2 linked regions of the Canis lupus familiaris genome follow. The protein of the gene in region 2 purifies or fractionates together with the protein of the main gene of each other region. This does not show direct contact. Links are inferred from orthologs where the notes say so. Each region holds a gene or a part of one and is shown on either strand. Other genes may lie near its edges.

Region 1 (4,713 bases), on a different chromosome or scaffold from region 2:
CAGAAGGTAGTTTGACAACAGACTCTGGTTTGAACCCTGGTTCTTCTACAATTCAGCTCAAGATCTTACACAAAATCCTACTCCCTGAGTGGCACAGTTGGTTAAGTATCCACTCTTGGTTTCAGCTCAGGTTGTGATCTCAGGGTTGTGAGATCAAACCTGGCGTCAAGTCAAGCTCCACATTCTGCTCAAGACTCCCTTTCCCTCTACCCTTCCTACCCAGCTCATGTGCATGCATGAATGCACATGCTCTCGCCCTCTCTCGCTCTCTCAAATAATAAAGCTTAAAAAAAAAAAAGGACTTTGGACAAAGTGCCAAACACCCCTTGAGCCAATTTCATTTGCAAAATGGGAATAGTAACACCTGGCCTTCTCAAGCTGCTAAAGGATCACAGGAAATAGGAGTAGATAAAGTACCTGGCAAGGAGAGGGGCTTCAATACATGACAGCTTGCTTCCTTTCCCTGACTCTTTACCCTTGGCATTTTACTTTTACTGAAGGTTGTTATAATGCCAAAGGAAGATTACATGTGCTTTCCTTATGAAGAAACAGGTTCCAAAGGGACAGCAGGCCCCAACACTCACCTTCTCTGCCATCCCCTCTTCTCCTCCAACAAAAAAATCTGTTTTGCGTCGAAGGAAGCTGAAGAAAGTGTTCACAAGCTGGAAAACAGAGAAGACTGAAGCTGTGGAGATGCCCCCAGGGAGCCCTCAGCTGCCCAGAAACCAGATCCTAGTCCAGGAGGGAGTCAGAAACTTGGTAGTTTCCTCCTAAGCCTCTCATTGGACAAGACAGGCTCCCCAGCAGGCTCTACTTTAGTCACCTCCACTAGGAGGCCTAACCTAACCTGATTTAGGTGGCCTGAAAGGCAGATTTCCATCTCCTGTGTATGTGTGCCTGTGTTTCACATTCCTTGTGGCTCTAGAAACAGCCTAAAGATACAGAACACTCCTCTGCAACCAGGGCTTAAAACACCTAGGCCCAGCTTTCCTTCCAGACAGTGAAAAGTCCATCCAGACTGGCAATGGCTGAGTTACTAGGGCAGAGCCAGAAAGAGGGGAGCCACTTCAAAGGTTAAAACCAACTAACTCTGGCTGGTACAGTAAAGTATCCAAGTGGTTAATTAAGCACATGGGTTTGATTATCAGACTGATAATATATTAGCTGTCACCTTAGGGAAGTTTCTTAACTCTAAAAGAGAAATAGCAGCCAGCCTATTTCTAGGGATCTTGTGAGAATTAAATGAGATAATGGAGGTGAGGGCCTTAGCAATGTCTGGCCCAGAGCAAGAGACCTCCTGCCAGAGTGAACGATTCACACATAGGTACCATGAATTGTGGCTTATTCTGTCTACATCCCCAAAGCCTGGCATCAGATCTGGCTCAGTGTATATGCTCAGTAAATCTTCTGCTGAATGAAATGATCTAGTGGTGTTCTAGAGTTAGCATATACAAGCCCTTTTACTTGCCCAAATGAGTGGTTCTAACTCTGATGCTAGACTTTATCTTCATGGTTTGAGTTTCTACTTCTAGATAATTTTTTGATTCATTCAAAAATGAACTCACTCCGAATCCTATTTGGGATCAACAATTTAGGAGGATGGGAGAGGGAAACTTTACACAAAAGCAAAGTAGTAACTCTTCCCACCTCAAAGGGCTTGAGAGTCCTTGGTCTCCACCGGTGCCCAGCTAAAAGAATGGGAATGGAAAGCTCAAAGAAAACTTGCTCCCAGTGAGACACAGAACCAGCACACTGGCCTAAGGAATCTGGTCCTAATTCAGGAACCTGCTGGGTGATCTGAGGCAAGTTCCTTCAGTTTCTCTTCAGAATTAGAGTTTTGGAACTGATCCTGATAGGCTTTTCTACTTCTAACTTTCCATGGTTTTGGTCCAAAACACCAACTCCAGCATCTATACCAGTACGTCTTTGTGTTATGTGTGGTCAGTACGCATGAACTGTGCTTTTGAAAGGGCCTTTCCAAGCTCCATCAGGGCAAGGATAGACTTCTGCTCACATATACACCCAGGACCCAATCCGGTGAGCATCTGACACACATCACTCAACAAATATTTGTTGAATGAACAAACCTGCTTATTGTGAATTCCTTACTGTCCTTTACTTCAAGACACTACTCTCCTCACTACTCAGAAGAGACTTGTGGCTGCCTCAAAGACAAAAGGAACTGAGGCTTGCTGATATGGAAAGGCCCCTTACTGGTAGGTGGTGGAGATAAATGGTGAACCCAGGCTTCCTATTCCCCATTCTAGGCCTGAAAGGACCACGTGTTAACATCACTCCGCCCCGCCCCACCCCCGCACCCCCCCACAAGCATTCGTCAGCTCGGTCCAGGTCTTGGTAGATGCAAATGCCAAAGTCTGGGATGGTTCATCCTAAGAACTGCTCTTCGGGGGCGGCCATCAGTAGGGATACGAGGCCGGAAGCATGTGTGAGAGCGGGGGGGACGGGATAAGGGGGGCGCTGCGGGTTTTCCAGGGCCGCGTTCGGAGACGCAGGAGTTGCTAAGACAGGAACTCCTGAGTGGCGCCGGGGGGCCCAGCACAGAAACGACTGAGGCCTTAAGGGCGGCGGGGAGGCCAGACCGGAAGCTGGGGGCGCGCAGAGATGGAGGCGGATCCCAGGAACCCGCGAGGCCCAGAGGTGGATCTCGGCCCCCGAGGGTAGGGAAGCGGAGGGAGCGTGCCAGCGCCGCGCGGGCGGGCGAGCGCCGTAGGAGCAGGCCAGGCCGACGCCGCGCGGGCCGTTACCTCCTGCACGCCGCCCTCGTGCTGCTGCGCCATGGCCAGCAACATGCCGTCGAACCGCTCCTCCTCCTGCTCTCCGCCCATCGCGCCGGCCTCTCGCCACACTCCGAGGGCCCAGCTCCGCGCTCGCGTCCCGCGTTCTCCCGGCTCCTTAGAGTCGCGTCCGGCCCAACCGCTCCAGCCGTCCGCCTTCCGCAGCGGAGCCGGAAACACGCACGCGCCGCGCGGCCGGTCCCGCCCTCCCGCCCTCTCTTCCCGCCTCCCTCCTGGCCCGCGACCATTGACCGCGCGGCAAACAGCCCGCGTCTCCCACGATTGGTCCGCCCGCTGAGCCAATCGACGGACCCGTTCAGGAAGCGGTGGGCGGAGCTAAGGGATCCGGAGTTTGGCGTGAGTTGCTATGGTCACCAGATGCTTTGGAGCCTTCCAGAAAACCCTGAGCTACAAATCTGGCGGGTTCGAAGTTAAAAAGGGACAAACTCTGCGCCTCCTCCTTGAGAGTGACTTACCAGCCTGTAGAAGGGCGGGGCTGAACGTGTCCCTCGTCTTCTTCTCCAGCGCTACCATGAGGCAGTGCAGGCCCAGAAGGGAGCCGGGGCTGGCCCAAAGGACAGCCTACCTCCGTCGTCACAGCATACTCGCCAGAACCAGCTTCGTGGGATTACAAACCGTACGGTCGCGCGGGCGTCCGTCTTGGAAGGGCTCCGTGCTTGGCTTTAATGTTCTTCTGATGCAGTCCTGAAAATCTAAATTTTTGAACAAGAAACAGCACGTTTTGTACTGGGCTCTGCAAATTACATAATGGTTGCTGTATTCCACCTTCACTCCCGTTAGTGGGGGACACAACCCAGCCATCTAAAGATGGCCAACCCCTCCACTTTTGCAGTGAATTTCATCATCTTAGTCTTTTCAGGGATTCTAGCCTCGTTATTATCCTTTTTTTTTTTAAATATTTATTTATCCATGAGAGACACACAGAGCTGCAGAGACACAGGCAGAAGGAGAAGCAGGCCCCATGCAGGGAGCACGATGTGGGACCCGATTCCGGGATTCCAGGATCACACCCTAGGCTGAAGGCAGCGCCAAACCGCTGAGCCACCCAGGGACACGCCCCTTATCCTTTTTTTAATTTCCTACATCACAGATTTCTTTCTTCTGGATCATTCCCTTCAATTTGCAAAGCTGTTCTAATGTCCCTTATTTCTTTTTTTATTATTCTGTGACCCCTGCTTTTCTCCTCCTACCACGCCGGTTTTCAGTTCTCACAGCAAAACTTGAAAAGATTACATGTCTCCACTTTGTTACCTAACATCTTTCCTTTTCTGAAAAGACTCTAGCAAAGGGTACAATGACTTTTTTATGCCAAAGCGCATGAACCACAATTATCTTCCTCAACTTCTTTTTTTTTTCTTAAGATTTTATTTATTTACTCATGAGAGACACAGAGAGAGAGAGGTAGAGGGAGAATCAGGCTCCCTGTGGGGAGCCTGACGTGGGACTGGATCCCAGGACCTAGGGATCACCACCTGAGCCAAAGACAGACAGACACTCAACCACTGAGCCACCCGGATGCCCCATTATCTTCCTCAGCTTCTCAGCAGCATTTGACACAGTTTGCCCCTTCTTCTAGACACACTTTTTTTTTCTTTAGGCTTCTGATCTGGATGGAATTGTGTTCCCCGAAATTCATATGTTGAAGCCCCCAATGTGACGTTTTGGACCAAGAGCCATTTAAAGAGGTAATTAAGGTGAAATTAATTCATAAGCATGTGGGGCCCTAATCCCATATGAAAGAGTGTCCTTACAAGAAGAGGGAGAGATCCCTAGGAAATCATAGGTACACAGAGGAAAGGCCATGGGTAGCAGCCTTCCACAAGACAAAGAGAGGACGTGGGAGAAAGCAAACACCTCGATCTTGGACTTCCAGCCTCCTGAGCTGAGAAATTAAGTT
Region 2 (3,915 bases):
CTCCAACAGCCCCACCATCTCCTTGCTGAATTGGGAAACCAGAATTGCTCCCCACAGTGACAGACCAGAGCCAAGAAACTCCTTGCCTGAGACAAACGGTACCAGCTGCCTGCTGTTGCCCAAATTAACTTCCAACAACCCAGCACGGGACAGGAAGTATCCTCCACGAGGCACAACCCTGGGGCAGCTGGACACAGGCGGGCTGGGAATGCTGACCACACACTGTAGCATCAAGAATCAAAAGGTCTTGGAAAAGCCCAACAACCTCATGTGCCCAAGGCCCACCAGGAGTGCCTGGTACTCATCCAGAGTCACCAAGGGAGATAGGGGATGTCTGTGTTCTTAAAAACTTTCCTCTGGGTTTCCTAAGGATCAGGGGTGAAAAACAGCTCAGCTCGTGTCTGCTGTCAGAGTGCCAGGAGTCCTTCTGGAGAATCAGCCTCCAAAGAGATGCCCCTGTACCCCTGAGGATGAGAGAGCAGCTGCTACTAAGGGGCTAGTGAGAGCCTCTAAGGTCGAAGGTTCGGCCACGCAGCTCCTAAGAGGTGCCAGTAGACCTGAGCAGACCTGGCCAGGTCCCTCAAACAGCATAAAGTGTGAGGGGTATGTCCCCCAACAGCATCCTCAGATCCACGTGGCTCTCCTTGAGCTCCAGAGGGTGAGTTTAGAGGCAGTGGGATGAGTTTGCTGCCCTGTGCACCATGTATTGGGCAGGGAGCTAAGGAAACTCAGTTGTTTACAGGGTACTCCAAGCCACTCAAGGCCTCTGATATGTATTCAGGTGGCTTAGGAACAAGACAGAGTAGGTCTGTCATAAGAGCAAAGGACAATAGCAAAAACACACTGAAATCTCTCTGCAGAGAGCCTGTAAGCCTCATGTACCCCGGGTCCTCTCAGGATTTGGCTCCTGATGCCACCTGAGCCCCCTCACCACATCCCCAGCCCCTCCAGTCACTGACTCCCCGGCCCACCCACTGCCAAGCCTGCCCCCTCAAGAACTCCAGGGACCTCTCTCCAGCACCTGCCACCCTTCTCAACTGCTCTGTATCACTCTACCTCCTGATCACCCTCTTCAGGAGACTCTGCTTTTCTTTATGCCTCTGGTCCTGCCCTCTCAGCCCTTTTCCATCCTTCACTCTGGCTGCTTTGTAGACCTTTCCCTCCATGGCCCCTCAATCATAGGGACCCATGATATGGCCTCAGCCCTTCTCAAGGCCCAGATTTCTGGGCCCAGCGGGACCCTCAACCCGTAATGTCACCTACTGACTCTCTCAATCTCCAAAACCTAACCCTTGGACCTGATCCCTGCCCTACTTGGATGCCCTCCTCTCACTCAGACATGGGGCATAAGTAGCCCACCCACCAGTCGCCCAAGCACACCAGTTTCCCACCCAGGCAGGCTCTGTATGTCCTTTCAGACATACCTTTGCTCTTCGAGCAATGGGACCAGTCCCAGCACTGCCAGCCAGGCTGCATCTTTTGGACCATGGGCCAGAGTATGGCATTCAACGCCCTCCCCAATGGGTTCCTACTGGTGCATGCCACAAACCCAGACCCATGCTCCTGATCCATCAGAGGTGAGGCTGGACTCTCCCATGGCCACCTAGAGATCCTCTCCCCTCAGTGTCAAGACTTATGTGATGAAAAAAATAATAATAATAATACAAATTAGAAGAGAAAGATTTATGTGGTACTAACCACATTTCTAGTACTGTATTATAATCATCATGTAGACTCCCCCAACACATCTTCACAAATCCCATGAGGTACTATTATCACCCTTTACAGACAGGAAACAGCCTATACTCCTAACCTGCCTGGCCTCGTCACCTCCCCCTCCCAATACTCCTGACCCCACACTCAGAGGCACCTTCCCGCCCCGGCACTCCTCCATACCTGCCAACCCTCCCCCAGTCAACCGCTGCAGATGTGCGCCAACTCCAACCCAGGCCTGGCCCAGAGAAGAGAGGCCTCTAAGCCTGAAGGAGGGAAGGAAAGCTGTGGTTTCCAAGTAGAGGGTAGACCCCATAGCTACTCTGTTCTAGAAGGTCTGTCTGCAACAGCTGCAGCTACGACAAGCCCCAGGGCTTTCTGTTAAGGAAGAGTGGCTAGCCTCTGCCACCTGGTGGTGGTGTAGGGCAATGCAGGCCAGACTCCCTACTCCAGGATCTCCGGACCCAGACTTGGCAACACGGGCATCTGAACCCCTTACTTGGTTCCTGTTTTGTGCCTGGCACTCTCTAAGTTCTTGGCAGAGACTAACTCATTACCCTCCCAACACCACCTGTGAAGGAGGCCCTATCACTGTCCCAGGGGGCCCAAAGGAGTCAAATGCCCTGCCCAACGTCCCACAACTCCAAATACTGAGGCTGGTTGCAAAGCCCACCCTCCGCCAAATGCTTTTTAAGACCAAGAGCCTCTCCCTCAACATGGGAGGTCTGCTAGCCTCAGTTACCTCAAGGAAGTGCTGTCCTCAACAGCTGAGAATCAGCTAGGAGGGGATGCAAGGGAAAGCTGAACCCCAAGCCCAACACCTTTGTCCAGACGCATCCTTTCCATTTCAGGGGTGAATTCTGGATGTAGCCCATGGACTTTAAATCTTGTCCCAAGACAATAACCACAGTTTTTCCAACAACTCCAGCTCTACCCCAACCTGGTCTTAGCCCCAGGCCCACAGGCCTGCCCACCATATTGCCCCTGGCCCCACTCCTAGTTCCTCCTGTGGCAGATCACCACCTCCCTTCCCTTCCCCATCCCCACGGCCAAGGTGACTCACAGCCCTGCCCAGTCACACCTGCTCTCAAGTTCCACACTCCAGCACCTTCCAGCTCACCCTAATCACACCCGGTCCGTCCCTACCCTACCTCCCAGCAGGAGCCTAAGATGGCCTATGTTGACTGCTCGCTGTTCTGCACCTCTGAGGGCTATAATTCTCAGGGGACATGGCCCCAGGGCTGCTTCCTGATTCTGGTCTCCAACCTGAGTTGACCCCTGGAGATCCCAATGGGCCCAGGACTCCTCCCCACTGACCAGGGCCGTCCTCAGGCCTGCTTCAGCATGATGGCCACAAGCCTGACGCCAGGTTCCGCACCGTCATGCTGTGGCTGCTCAGGGACACTCACGCTGGTAGTGCTGCAAGAGGCGGTGCGTCCGCACGTCCCACACCTTCACTGTGTTGTCCATGCTGGCAGCGGCGATGCACGTGCCACTGGGGTGGAAGTCCACGTAGGTGACAAAGCTGGAAAGGCAGGGGCCGCCGCATGCTGTAGGACTGTCCTGGCCCAGAACAGACCCCCCTTTCCCATCCCTGCACATCTGCTCAAGCTGTTCCCCAAACCCAAAATATCTCCCTTCTGCCCTTTTTCTTTACCAGGTGGCCAAGGGACAGCAGAGAGAGGGCAAAAACAGTGGCTAACAGTGACCGGAGGTGGACTCATCAGGGACCGAATCCCAGCGTCCACCTCTAAATACAAGTAGAGAAAGGGGTCTTCAGCCTAAACGACAGCTGACAGCTCAGGCTGTTCAGAGTCAGAGCAAGGGCCCTCATCAAAGCGATGAGGCCTGGCCCCAAAGGGCCAGTGGGACCCCAAGGCCACTGGTTGACCCATCTGCAGGAGACAGGCCAAGGGTGACACCCAGGCTGGCACCATGGCCAGCTCTTAGGAGACGCCTTTCCCTGGGGCTCCCGCCTACCTGAGGAGGGCAGAAGTTGAGGTTCATTGAGGAGACCAGAACAGGTGAGGCCCTGCTCTAATGCAGGCTCCTCCCTCTCCTGATGATGCAGCACAGTGTGAACAGCCACCAAGAACTTACAAGAACCTGACAAGCCTTTCATTTATAAACCCATCGTCATAGGTAATACACTAACATGATTTTGGGAAGTCTGGGGTCACCTTCTTTTGGATAGACAAGTCA

What was found.
Region 1: the proteins of POC1A (region 2) and NUDC purify together in Homo sapiens (co-immunoprecipitation; 3 studies listed by BioGRID and IntAct, with this or other methods). This does not show direct contact. The link is inferred for Canis lupus familiaris from reciprocal best matches to the Homo sapiens genes POC1A and NUDC.

Annotation. Positions count from the first base shown.
Region 1 is NC_049223.1:72,616,207-72,620,919, forward strand, and holds the start of NUDC (nuclear migration protein nudC), read right to left. Parts: upstream 2,979-4,713; 5' UTR 2,847-2,978; coding exon 2,766-2,846; intron 663-2,765; coding exon 585-662; intron 1-584. UniProt on the Homo sapiens protein: Plays a role in neurogenesis and neuronal migration. Necessary for correct formation of mitotic spindles and chromosome separation during mitosis. Necessary for cytokinesis and cell proliferation.
Region 2 is NC_049241.1:38,006,261-38,010,175, reverse strand, and holds part of POC1A (POC1 centriolar protein homolog A), read right to left. Parts: intron 3,239-3,915; coding exon 3,123-3,238; intron 1-3,122.